2 linked regions of the Caenorhabditis elegans genome follow. The protein of the gene in region 2 interacts with the protein of the main gene of each other region in a pairwise test. Each region holds a gene or a part of one and is shown on either strand. Other genes may lie near its edges.

Region 1 (6,716 bases), on a different chromosome or scaffold from region 2:
TTATTTTATCAGATTTTTTAAGAATCATGATATTTCTTTTTAAAAAAAGCTTCCAAAATGTACATATGTCTACATTTACACATCCCCTAAATTTCAAGAGGTCGGCAAAAAACAGTAATGGGAAAATAAACTAAAAAGACTTCAATTGAATTTTTAAGTGGAAATTTAAAAAAAAAACGCTAAAACGTCTAAATATCATTGTGAACCTTTTCAGAAATTTTTATTTACAGCCAAAATGTGGTGATAACTTAGTTTTACCAATCATAATTTGACAGTCGACCAAAAAAAATATATCATCAACCAGTTTTATACGTTTTTAATTTTGTTTCTATAACCATTTGTGTTTTAAAAATTCTATGTTTTTGAACATGAAGCAATGCTCAAAATTACTTTAAAAGTGCACGTTCTTGATAACCGAAATGTTGTCACTAATTCAGCCTGCAATTCTTTGAAATGGTTGCAGTATTTTGTGCAATTAAATGTATATCCATTTTCATGATTTTTTGTTAGCTTAAAATATATTCAAGAAATAAATATTAAACCTTCTTCATTTTCTAAATTATGCGTGCAGGTTGTTGTATCTTTCTCACAAAAAACTGTAAATTGTCAAAGAAATGAGATGGGATTGTAAGAAAAGTGGGTTTGCGTGAAGAGATTTGAAGCGAATTGGTGGGAAAAAGCAAGAAAAAAAGAAAATTGTTTCTAAAGTACTCCAATTATTGGCGGGAAATTGAGAAAACCGATCATAAGCTCAAAAACTAGATGCATCCTGTGAAAAATTGTGTGGAATTGAAATAATAATAATGTTAATAATGTGAGAAAAAACTGGGAGAAATTGGGGGAAAAAATAGAGAAAGAGAGACAAAAAATTCATAGTCATGGAATTCATATAAAGTTTAAAAGAACATAAAAAAGCAAATGAATGAGAAAGAAAAAGCCTATATGGTGCTACAGTAACCGAATGAAATTTTTGATGGGATGTGAATATTTGGGAGACAATACTGTACTGTACATAGAGAGAGACCAAAATAATCGAAACTTAAATGGGATGGAGAAAAAAATGAAATTCAAAGACCCGCTGTTTATATCATATTTTCTCGATTTCAGAGTTCTTAGTGGAGGAGGTGAAACTTTGAGAGAGTACAATATTCATTTAAAAAAATTAAACTTAATAAGCTGGGGTTTCTACTCTTGGTGGGACCGTGGAGACGACGTTGGAGAAGATGCTGGAGATGGCGTCGACGTCTCCGCTTGAGAGTTCAGACCTGAAATTATTTATTCATTAAAATCAAGGCTTAAAAATTGTTCAAAGATTTTTTAAATATTGTATATTGCAATAAACCTAGGCACCAAGTCAATTAAGCTATATTTCAAAAGTTTTTGAAATTTTTAGTTTTTGAAAGTTTTAAGATTGAGTTGTGTGAAAAATGATCTGATTTTTTGAAAATTATTAAAATCTCCAAAAAGCTTTCAGAATGTTTTTTGCATCTAAACAACCTTAAAATCACTAAAATAATGTAAAATCCGGATTTAGAGCAGCTTGACATGCTTGTATTTGAAGGAATGCTCTGAGAAATTTCAGTTCAACGTTTCAAATAAGACTAGGCTTTCTAGTTTTTCCCCATATTGGTCAACTAGAATTGCTTTTACATGTTCAATAAGTTATAAGAAAGTGTTTCCCATCAACTATACGAACGGATCAAATCGGCAATTTATCATTCGGTGACTTGACTCCGGGAGCAGCGCTCCTTTTTTGGACAAAAACTGAGTGACGAAGAACACGCGGTTTAGAAAAACGAGCACACTAATCCGTGGGGTCAATGAGGAGACACTTACTTCAGTTTAAGCCCTTTTTCGTTGCCTTTGACGTTTCGAACAAAATTATTACATAGAAAAGAACTCCTCTTTCTGAGCTAAAACATTTGAAAAGGATCTAGAACTTAAGTGTAGACCCTCTTTTGTTAATGCCTATCTAGAAGCTGTAGCTACTGAACTTTCCCCTTATAATGTGTATCAGAAAACATACACCTATTATCAGTAAATATGGGATGATTAGTGCATTAAATAGCAAAAAAACTGAGCGTCACGACAGGATAACAACTTTAAAATTAAGAGGATTACGTTTCGACTTTTCTTGTTCATGTACAAGCACGCACGGTGTTCAACTAGCTGTCAATCATTCGGAATACCCAAAAAAAGAATGATAAGAAAAAGCAGACAGGTTGCCATGTAACAAAATGTAAGAAAAGTGTATTCACCTGCTCACCTCACCTGCTTCATTTGGAGGAGTTGTTTGTGGTGCCAAAAGTGCAAGTTGTTGCCCTTGAGCAGCTTGTTGGGCTAGAAGTTGGAACATGAATGGGTGCATTGTGTGACGGAACAAAGTTGGATCCAATCGTGCCATTACTTCCATTTGTTTTTTCATTGCGTTTTGGAACAAGCTTCCCGTTAATAGATTTTCGTCTGATGATGGTGGAGAATCCTAAATAAAAAGATGTTTGCTAGGGGTTACCATTATTCATCATCTTGAACTAAATTACTTCACTTTAACAACTTTATGAAAAATATAAGCTGCCAAAAGGCACTGCTGTATGCTTCAATGTATCTTCCAAGTACAGTAACCCATGCCTAAACTTTACAATATGACCCCCTGATCTCCCATCAATTCCTTAATGTACTTTATGAAAATGTATAAAACCATCATTCAATCATGTTTGTTGTTAAAGCGGCACAGTTTTGTCGGCTGCTTCACACTCACCTCACAAGTTTGCACATACACACATACAAATGATTCATACTAGTTTACATCTCTATAAAATGTGCAGAACAAGATGAAGGGAGAGGAGGACTCTTTATTTGCCCCTACTAAACATATAATAGTTTTTAAGTCCATTTCGTAAAACTGTTAGAATAAGAGGGAAGATGGGGAAAACTATAAAATCTGTACAATGTATTTTATGATCTAAACTTTTTTGCTCTCACCTTCTTTGATGAATCGTCATCTGAAGTGACATCGGCAATCGACCACATTTTTGGTTTACGCTTCGGACTTTCAGAATCATCATTTGGAATTGGGGATACTAGTTCTTTCTTCGGTGTTGTCAACTCATCTGATCCTCCAGATCCTCCCGAAGGCGTTGGTGATGCTAGATGTGGCTTTCCGAATAGGGATTCTCCTTTTCTTTCGGAATTTATGGATGTTGAGCTTGATGGACGGTTCATGTCATCATCATCGTCGTCTTCATCGTCATCACAACCATCGCCTCGTCGATTTTGTGGTGACCAAGTCATCTTGTTCTCCTTCTTCAGTCGTCTTCTGGCGTTAGCAAACCATGTCGAGACCTGTAATTAAAAATATAAATTTCAAGCTTCGGCTTTGTTTTTCGGGCTAGAGTTTATTTTAATAAAATAACTTCAAAGTTTTGGTTCAAACAATTTTAAAATCTAATTTTTGGCGCCAAGGTTGTGTGTTGTTGGTCTATTGCAACAAAATCAAACAAGTAGTAGCCCTATTTGGTTTGAAACATTTCTCGTATTGTGTAAAGAATGTCTCTCGAAACACATTAATTAAGCGGGGTACGAGGTGTCATCATCATCGCTTATCGCCTCTGTACATCTTTTGTTTCTCGCCCCTCTTTTTTTGGCATCGGTCAAAAAAGGAGACATTTGCCCCCGGGGTTTGATGGCCGGTGAGTGGCTAATGTTACAATAACACTGCGGGAAACACTGTCTACTACATTTTACAACAATATTTTTTGTGGTATTTGTAATTGATGACTAGAGGCGGCTCTAAAATCCCGTGTGAGCTAATAAATTGAGCAAATATTGTGGAGTAAATTACGAGATTACGGTTGGTAATAGGCTATTACGGCTATTAAATCATTTCACAGTGTTGCATTTACTAATTGTTGTCAAAACAAGAAATAATACAACATACCTGTGTAAGTGTCATTCCTGTACCAACTGCCAACATAACTTTATCAGCTTTTGATGGATATGGATTCTTTCTATGAGAATGAAGCCAATCTTTGAGTGGTGCAGTTGCTTCTCGTGTTGCATTTCTTTTCTTGATTCCATCTAAACCATATGGATGATATAAACGATGAGCATCACTGAAGAACATGGGCATCGGTCCTGGCCCTCCACCTAATAACATTTCTGGTTTCAGATCTGCTGGAATTCCATGTGGAAACATCGGAACTCCGGGGAAGCCAGCAAGAGTTGCTTGTTGAGCGGCGGCGGCGGCTTGAGCTTGAGCAGCGAGAACTTGAGCCATGGCAGGATGGAAATGAAATTGACCTAAAAGGTTTGGTGGCAGAATTCCGCGAAGTGCATCCGGAGCTGAAGTGGGTGGAGCAGGAGTCGTTGTTTGTGGTGTTGTGGGCTCTTCCATTTTGACCTGGAAATGGATTTACTTTTCTAGTCAGGTGAAGTGAAGGTATCCAAACGAATAAATCTGACATTTGGCATCTAAATTTTTTGGAAGGAAGTATTTTGAGACTGTGTTCAAATGTTGTCTAATCTAAGATTTATGTAAAAATTGGTAGGAATCGAAAACGAAAACCTTGTCCAAGCTTTGACAACTTCTCAACTGCAATTTTCTATATTAGACTTGCACCCCCCTCTTCCTTCACTTTGACAGTTTATATCTCAGTTCTTTGTGGTTTTATTAAAAAACTTCAAACGGACAATTTACTTGCAAAATAATTTTCTATGTTTTGGTTGTATAACACTTTTTGATAAAGCTGAAGGCAACCGAGATATAAACCGCCAAGCAGTGGCGGTGCAAGGTTAACATGGCAATTGGAAAGAGCAGGAAGTTGACTCCAAGTGTCAAGAAGGACAAAAATGAAATAAATAAATGTAAGAACACTACTTGAGAATATAGAAATTATAATTTAGCTTATTAAACTTATCGCTTAAAAACTGACCTGATTGGCAATAGGAATCATTGTGATGGTGTAGTAGAAGTAGATGTGTTGATCTCAGTACAAGTGCAGAAACAATAGTTGATAAGTATGATTATTTATGATCTGAAGAACACATTGATATCAGTTATAATTCCAGAGCAGTTTTTTGTTGAAAAAGATAGACAGAGAGAGTGAGAGAGAGGCAGAGAGGCGACGAAATCAAGAGGGAGCAAAGGAGGAGCGATTCAGTGATAAGCATAGAAGAGAAAGAGAAAAGGTTTGATTGATAATTCTTGAAGAAATTGAGATGATGTAGAACTATGTGGGACCTTATGTTCAACAACTTGTTGAGCAATCTCGATTTTCTGCAGATGCCCGCCCGGGGCCGTGTGTGTCTCTCTCTCTCTCTCAAGTCCCGCCCACCATCCAATAGACATGGAAGCCACAGGGCGGGGCCTGGAGAGTAGGGAAAGAAATTGAAGAAGCGCAAAAAACACGTGCGAACACGTAGATTTAACAAGATAAACCGGAGAAATTCACGAAGAGAAACGGAAAAGAATCGGAGTAAAGAGAAGTAGAAGAAGATGATGATGAAGGATACAAGAATCGAACGGAAAGAAAACAAATTGATGATATGGCAACTAAAAGAGATTGAAAGATAAACAATTAACCGTTCCAGCTAATGATTGTAAGAATGATGATGGTTTTGATATCTTACTATTTCATTGTTTAGTGTTATTATTTCCAAGTTTGATTCTAGAATTGTTATTTTTGTGCAAAAAAAATCTTTCGAACCTAATACCTCTCTACCTCTACCAATTATCAAGTTTGGGAATGAAAATTAAGAAATACAAGAACCAAAAATCTCAATAAATGTATTCACAAGGACGAAGAGCAAACAAGTTGTAAATTTGCTGGCTGGCTCACGAATGGAAACTGAAAATTGAAGCAAATAACGGGAAGAGGAAGCTTTGGAAGGATCATTGCATAGAGTTTAATCCGAAATATTGGCAGGATGAAGAGAAAAAAAGTATAAACATTTGAAAGTTAAAAAGTAAAACGACGGAAAATCTAGAGAGTACTATCAAATGACCCGAACACACAATGGCGCCACGAACAAAAAAAGGACAAAGGAGAAGAAGCTGAAATCAGTGAACTTAAGTCAAGAATGATACATCGTAGAAGCAATTAGGTAATGGTCAGAACGGTTTGTAGGGGGACAAGAATTGAGAGAATAGAAGTTTAAAATGGCATGTCTCTTGTTGTCCGAAGCGGGGTGTAAAGAAGTGTAGCTGCTGGATAGGGGGCGCCGGCGAGAGTAAGTGGCCAACGATGGCGCTGATGACGATGATGAAGAAAAAGAAAATGGAGAAGAAAAAGGTAAAAAAAGAGGACACGGTGTAATACATTTACTATTGTGTCAGTTATTGTGTTAACATCTCTCTTTGGGTCATTCGATCATTTAGTTATTACAACATGTAACAACAACACATATATAGTAACATAAAGTTGCAACAAAAAAAGTTCAATGGCGGAAGTTTGTACTAATACAGGAAGATGTAGGTACATATGAGCCAAACAAGACAAAAAGGTGTATGGTAGGGAGATTGATGTCAAACGATGATGAGAAAGCGATGGAGGAGGAGTCATTGGGCGGAGTCAATCGCCGGGGGAGGAACACGGGAGGTAGGAGGGTGTAGACATGAGGTCGCGGCACAATTTATGAGGAGCTGGAGCCAGAAGATGATGAAGCTGTGGAATTGAAGTAGAAGAAGCAACTAGTTAATGGGTTTTGGTGCTTTCCAG
Region 2 (7,627 bases):
AAACTTTTTAAAAACTCAGAAGCAACGAAAGTTTAAATTTAAAAAAAATATGTTTTCTGAAACAGGAGAAATTGGGAAATACCCTATGGTACGGTAACGGAAAAGTTTCATTCGTGCTAAGACCTTGTCTATGGGTTTCTACATGGCCGCGGAAGAGAAAGCTCGGCCGCCAACTTTTTTTCTGGAAATTGCTGTACGATCAAGTTTGCATACAGAACCAAGACGATTTAAAAATGAAAAGTTTATTGAAAAATCAAAAATAATAAAAATAAATCAATAATTATTAGACTCGATGCGTCGTGTGTTTGTATGTTTGGAAGTTCTATACATTTTTCTCTCCAAAAAATGTTTGGTTTTTTAAAACCAAAACATTAAAAAACATGATTTCACTTTTTTTCAAAATTATTACCACCGGGGGTGTCTAAAACGGACCGGTTAACTGTTTAGGATTTGATCCTATTTTCCGAGATAAAACAAAGAGAGAGGGAACGAGAATGAGAGACGCAGAGCGAGAAACAATACAGTAATCCTGGGAAAGTGTGGGCGGAGCTCAGCTCAATTTGGGCGGGGACAGTGGGAAATCGATGCAAACGGAAGAATATCGGTGAAATTTGGGAATTTTCGAAGAAATTGATGACATGATTAGGTGGCGAAGAGACATAGAAAGATAGTATGTGGTTTGGTGAGAGACGAAAAGATTATTTGAATTTAAAAAAAATGGGGATTTTTGGAATAACACAAGCGGTCTTGAAGACGAGAAAAAAATCGGTAAATTGGTTGGTTCACTTGGTGAAAAATGAATGAAAAAATTAGAAAATATAACAAAATTGGTAAAAAGTGAAAATTCAAGAAAATATGAAAAAATCATTGAGTTTGAAACCAAAGATAAAAAGAGATTGTGTGGAAAATTAAGCAAAGAAGGGAAACATACAATTTTTCTAAAAATCAATAATTGGTCAAAATTATAGATCTTAGGCTTGCAGACCATAATTTTTCAGATACATACTCCAGAACTCATTCAAAATTGCTGCCGATGAGACAGAACCTGCAGAAATGCCTGGAAGGAGTGGAGCCTGTTGTCCGATTGATGGAGCCATATTTTGAATAATGCTCATCAGGAACTGTTGTTGTTGCAAGCTTATCAATTGTTGATTCATTGGGATCGGCGGATAGATTGGAATCGGAGCAGCCAGCGTCAGAGTGTATTGAGCCAGAAGTGGAGATGGAGAGCATGGTGGAGACATTGAAAGGGATGGGGACATTGTATCAGTGGTTGAGGATGGAGATGGACTTGCTGATGTTCCTGGAATATTATAGATTTAATTTCTTTGAAGCTACAATATAAATTTTAACTGTCTGCGTTGATATTTGCATCAAAATTACCACTTTTTTGTCTTCCCCTGAATTTTGAAAATACATTGGCTTAAGTGGTAATTATCTTTAAGGCAAAGTAACTTTCAGGGCAGGGCCCGCCTGATAGGTAAGCAGAAAGACATATTCTATAACTGAGAAGTTGTACCAATTTGAGATTCTAGACATATTTGAAATTAACCTCTTAACTTTCGTAATTGTTTATTGATGCGTTTGGATATTCCCGTATTTGATTGTTTCGGTACGAAAAATTGGAAATAACAAGTAGCCATTTTATATAATCTATGAGTTGATGGTAAAATCTATGTTTCTGATAACGTTAATACGTACCGTCAACTCTAGAATTACTTCCGACTGGATTTCAGGTTTAGACTCCAATTTTTGTGATTCTGACTTAAAGCTCAATTTACACACTTCTACAAAATCCCATAGCTTACCAATTATCTTTTGACCATCTGTAGCTGTGACAACCATCATCTCCATATCCATATCTTTCGATTTTCTACGAGAGTTCCTTTTTGGTTCTTTACCATCTCGGGATTTCTGTTGTGATCTGCGTAATTTGATTTGAGCCGCCATAAGATTTCGACGGTGTTCCACAAGAGTACACTGAAAAATAATATTTTTAAACTCGAAAATCGTAGTTCTGTTTACGCGTTTTCAAAAATCTCACACAAATTAATGTGGCAACTTTCTCTGTCAGTCCAAGAGCATGCTCCAAGTTGCCTGCTCCACAACAATTTTTAAAAAGTCAATTCGTAGCACTGTTGCATTAAAAATACTTCGAAATAGTTGAAACTTATCAAAATGTTTCAAAAAGTCACATTCTCAAATCTCATTGGCAAGCCACTCCCCCATTTCCCTACAGTACTTTTATAATCCTATAATTTCTTCGCGCAGGTGACATTGAAAAGCATAAAAACTGCAATGTTGTCAAGGGCGCCTGACTGCCGATGATGACAGTATAATTACACTTACCAATGTACACTCGCATGTCACAAATTGGCACATTGTCCGCTTGTGTCCCCGCAATGGGACTAGGACTCCGTGAGCCGAGCACCGAGCACAGTGTGGGTCACGGACACGCTTCCCATCACGGGTTTGAGTTGCCGGTGTGCAGTGGATCTGGAAATTTGGAAAGGTTTATAAGGGGTCCCGCTAAAAAGTGTTTTATTTTCACAGTAATATTATAGGAGTTAATGCAATCACAAAAACAATAACCAAGAAATTCGGTATAAACTTTCAGTAGGCTCAAGAATGCTTGCAGTCAATGCAGCCTACAATTGCCTCATACCTACACGCATACCCATGGTCCAAAGTGAGCATTTTTCTCATTTAAAAATACACTTTCAACAAATAACTGAAATAAAACAATAAGGTAGGTACGCCTATAGATGGCCAGGCAATGACCTATATGTGACTTGCCACAACAAGAGCCCCTTTTGAAAAAGAACAACTTCATGAAAAATATACCTACCCTTAAAAAAATCCGATAAAATCAATCTTTTTCTCACTTTTTCTTTGCTTTTCACACTCTATCTATTCGTATCTTCAATTGTTTTTCTTACAAAAAGAGAAAAAAGCCAAGACGTCAACCCACTTTTCATTTTGAAAATGTCAGATTTGATCTGAAGTTGCGATTTTTTGGTGAACTGATAAGATGTGGTATTTAAGTGCGTGAGAACGCACATACAACCTTCAAGACCGCCTACACCGCGAAACAGAAATGTAGGCAGACAGGAATGAGGTAAGGCACAGCCACCTACAGCCACACCTACCATAGAATCCCTATAGAATACTCACCTTCTTTTTGCTTAGCAAATTGTTCAACTGTCTTCGCTGCTCGACCATCGTGCATTCTCGACATGGACATTTTAGATATCTGTAAAATGTTCGTCTTGTTTATTTTTCAGTGCCACTTGGTGTCATCGACGGGAGAATTTTGTAGTTGTACAGTAACCCGCCCACCCATTCAAATATTTTATTAGACTTTTCACAATAGAGATAGGCCCTATCTTTTGTTAAAAATTATATGAACTGAAAAAATTGGGAGAAAAAAAAAATTGGGTGAGGAATTTTACGACTGTATAGGTCATTGTGGAATGGTTTGTTTGAAAAGTGAGTGTATCTGTGTGATTGGATGTCAAAAAATGAATGAAGATTTTTGAATGAAAAGCAAACATAATTTTTTAATAATTTTCGGTTCCAAAAAAAATAATAAAAAAGGCTGAAAAATTTTTAGTTGCTTGAATTGTCTCAAACTGATCCCAAACAACCAAAATTCATGATGTAACTTCCCAAACATATCTCGAAAAAAAAGAAGCGCTTTTTTGAATTTATCTAAACATTGGAAAAAATGATCGACCGAAGAAGAAGCTGGCAGAATTTCACTAGTTTTTTTTTTAATTTTTAACCGGATAGATATTATTTTTGTAAAGCCTAATAATGAAATTCGGTCGTTTCGGGCGAGTTTTGGATATTTAAACCAGAGAAGTACAAATTCTTTAAACGAGCGTTTAAAAAAACCTAAAAAGAGTAACACACCTTGATATACATATTATTAAATGTGTAGTAGCGAAATCAGGGAATTAAAAAAATTTCACATAGGTATTCAAAAAACTCTTGTAGTCATTTTAAAATGTTTCCCAGATTTCGCTAATCCATCTTCAATTTAGCTTAGTGATAATTGTCGTCATTGCAAGATCTTTTTGAGTCATCTTTCACCTTGGTGAAACATCTACAGTATCCCTAGACCACCTTCAAAATGGTTTAGGTTAATGTATAAAACATAACTTTTTGCCTCTTTGCATTTTCCCATTCTTCTCCTCCGTTTTTCGCGTCCATATAATAATTCGTTTTTGACCCCCCTCACTCATATAATAACAATTTCACCTGTATGGGTGGTATTTTTCGCTTTAAATCGACAAGGTCAGCTGTTTTTTCTTGCTTTGCGTCTTTTCTTGCCCGATCGTAATCGGTAGACGAACATCTCAAATTTTACGGGTGTCTTTGTCGGAGGGCTTCGCGAAAAAAAAAACTGATGGTGGGTGAATAAGGTCGGTGACGCGACAATTTTGAGATAAAATTTGGAATTTGGAGTATTTATGGATAAACTACATACTTTTTCGGCACAACAAAAGTTACAAAAAGTTCATTAAACAGTTGTTAACTTTTTATCGTTGCAAGACCCAAAATTATCAAAAAATTCAAGAGTTTAAGCATTAAAACGTGATGTATATAATTAAGGGTGAATGAGGGAGAAACATGGAATGACAAAATAGTTTTCAGATGAAATGTAGTTTAAAAATGCAAAAAAAACCATTGCTCACCTACAATCCGGCTTGTGACCTTTCCTTGGCTTCAACTCCCCATGATTTAAACATCTCTGACAATAATAATTTTTTTCTTGCTCGGCGAGCTCATCGACTGCTTTCGCCTCACAAATCTCCGATACGGGATCCTCGGTGAGCATTAGAGCTCCTCTGCAAAATTTTTTCAGATTATGAATTTAGTTGTTTTTGTTGAAATTTTTATTTTTAATTAGGGAATTAAAAAGAGGGATCTATAAGCATTATATGAAACTGCTATACTCTAATCTTGACTTATAAAATAATTACGAAATTTTGAAAATGTCGTGGAAAAGTCAAATTTTCAAGACTGATTTTTGTGAGAAAGAACATTTTTTCGCCAAAAATATTGTTCTTTGCATCGGAACAAATTTTCAATTTTTTAAAGGAGCAGCTGGTAATGCGAATTTTTTTTGTAATACTGTATCTTTTCTAGTTTCCAGTGTATATCTTTCGGATTAAAAAAATTTTCAAAGTAAAGTAAAAAAATTTTCTTTTCCTATAATGTTAAGAATTTTGAGAATTTAAAACAGAAAATTTAGAGAGCTTTGAAACCAGTTTTTTTTTCTTCAAAAATTACAGATAGCTCAAACATATATAAAATACGTTTTTATAATCTAAATGTTCAATTCAACGTTGGGCTCATTCTGTGACTTTAAATGTGGAATAAAGTTGGGCTACTGTATGTTTTTAAACCTGCAATAGTTAAAAATGTTAAAAACCAGTTTGAAATTTTTTCTTATAAAGAATTTTTCAGAACGGATATACATGGAATTTCAATATTTAATGGCAACAAAGTTTTATTAATTTACAGAACCGTATTGCTTATTTGACTTGAAGGAAAAAAAGAGCAAATAAATTTCTAAATAAAATACGTTTGAAGTTTTTCAAACCTAACTGCAAACTTTATAAAATCACAAAAATCGATTAATTGCAACTGGCAACATTTGATCGTGTTACAAAAGGTTCAATTTTTAATCAATTAGAGGTTTTTATCAAGAAATAATTTTTTGTAGAGACTAAAACCAAGACAAACAGACAAGTCAGGAGCTACAGTATTTCTACAATGTACATCAGATCAAATGTTCAAGTTTTTGTTAAGCCATTTTCTCAAAAATTTCAAAGAGTAGACTGTTAGGAAAGTCAGCCACAAATTGTAGACGCAAAGATGGAAACATTTTCACATAATTTTACTGTTTTCAAAAACCCCAAAAAATTATTCTGAATCGACTGGAAGCACCTACCCAAAAGTACAATTTCCTCCAACAAGGGGTCAAGATCGAGCTCCTAGAGCACCGATAGCATTCAAATATCGAAAAGAAAAGGAAAAGAGGGAGTAATAGGCACTCCCCTCCTGTGAAACGGGGCGGGTCCCAGCAAGAAAGAGTCGCGGCGACGAAGCGCCGCCTCTTTTTTGGCGACTGATGCCACCCGCGATTGGATAGAAGACCTCACACGACGATAATTAGAGAACGCCGAACGTGAGAAAACCTGGTAAGAGACGCCAGACAAACATATATCGGGAGGGAGCGGCGCCCCGAGACTATGGCGGTGGAGGGGGACACCGCTATCAGTTCTCGCGACGACATATTTTTTCTCTGGCTGACACTCCGCGAATCGTGTGATCTCTGCGTTTTTTGGGGACACCTGTAAGTACGTGTGATCATGGAAAGAGAAGAGACGAGAGAAAATTGCAAACTTTTAGTTTTTTATTTTATTTCCTGTAACTCAATTTTTATAGGTTTTGTTCGAACTTTTATTATCATTCGTTGGGTAGGCTTTTCTAGACTTTTCTGTATTTTAGAAAACTATTAAACATTCCTGGAATGTGACCTACCTTGCTTTAAAGGAAATTGAAACTATGTCTAGAATTATGGATCCACAAGTTGGAACCTTGGAGCCTATATAGAAAGCTTAATTATATTTTTTTTTCGAGGAAAAATACAATTCTTGAGCTTTTTTTCAGTCCATAGGGCCAAGATCCCGGCACCGGGCTGTAGAAAAAATTAGGACTGGAAATTCATAACTGCTCCCATGTGACCTAATTAATATTCATAAGCTAAGTACTTTCTTTCAGCTTTTACTAGCTTTTTTCATTTCTTCATTTGAATCTTAACCCCCCAACCCAACCACAATTTTTTTTCTGAACACCCGCGTCACCAGTTTCAGATTGATTACATATCTAAGCCTACAGTAATCCAATATTTCTCAATTTCGCCTAATGAGCACCTTCAGGTCTTGTGTTCAGTTAGCAGAGAGAGAATGAAAATTGGCAGTTTCAACGCACACATTTGATCTCGACTGTGTCCTCGAAATGGAAAGGAGAAGAAGCGGTAGAAACAAAGTGGGATTGACAAGAAAATTACAGAGGAAACATTTTTGGTAAAGGTTGATTTGGACCTGAAAATATATTAGGAATGTTTTCGAGAGAAGCTACCAAAAACTTTGAAAAGTAATAGTTTTGTTGAAAACTGTCTTACCAACTGTCAAAGTTCTAGTGACTCACTATTTAGTCAAACCGTTTTTCAATTACCAAGATTTGAAGTTTCAGTCAAAAATTATTGACCTGCAATGGATAACAATTTTCAATATGACTTTTAAAGTTTCAGTAATTTAAATTTCTCAAATTTTCCCGAACCAAAGATATTTCCAGTTCCACTTTATAAATGTCGTTAAAAAATTTTAGGTTTGAGAACCAACTTTCTAAAGGAATTGCTGATAAATTTTGACTAAATTCTTGTTTTCAAATGTTGCCGAATGGACTGTATTTACTCTGAACATTCTCTGTACTCCAAAGAGATCACCACATCGAGTCTAGACAGTCTCAACTCGCTCACTACCCGCCCCGCTGATTGTTTCGCTCGTAGGAAAAAAACGGCTGAAGTGTGAGAGTGAACGAACATTCCGTC

What was found. The genes of interacting proteins can lie anywhere in the genome.
Region 1: the proteins of mab-3 (region 2) and irx-1 interact in a two-hybrid assay, tested with the Caenorhabditis elegans proteins (one large-scale study listed by BioGRID).

Annotation. Positions count from the first base shown.
Region 1 is NC_003279.8:9,535,934-9,542,649, forward strand, and holds irx-1 (Putative iroquois-class homeodomain protein irx-1), read right to left. Parts: upstream 5,034-6,716; 5' UTR 4,953-5,033; coding exon 4,932-4,952; intron 4,400-4,931; coding exon 3,938-4,399; intron 3,738-3,937; exon of another isoform or gene 3,598-3,737; intron 3,343-3,597; coding exon 2,983-3,342; intron 2,483-2,982; coding exon 2,272-2,482; intron 1,266-2,271; coding exon 1,186-1,265; 3' UTR 532-1,185; downstream 1-531.
Region 2 is NC_003280.10:9,730,638-9,738,264, reverse strand, and holds mab-3 (Protein male abnormal 3), read right to left. Parts: upstream 6,035-7,627; 5' UTR 5,963-6,034; intron 4,854-5,962; 5' UTR 4,844-4,853; coding exon 4,701-4,843; intron 3,255-4,700; exon of another isoform or gene 3,254-3,254; coding exon 3,175-3,253; intron 2,497-3,174; coding exon 2,350-2,496; intron 1,981-2,349; coding exon 1,809-1,980; intron 1,304-1,808; coding exon 972-1,303; 3' UTR 230-971; downstream 1-229. UniProt on the Caenorhabditis elegans protein: Transcription factor which binds the DNA motif 5'-[CGA][TCA][TA]ACAATGT[AT][TGA]C-3', probably as a monomer.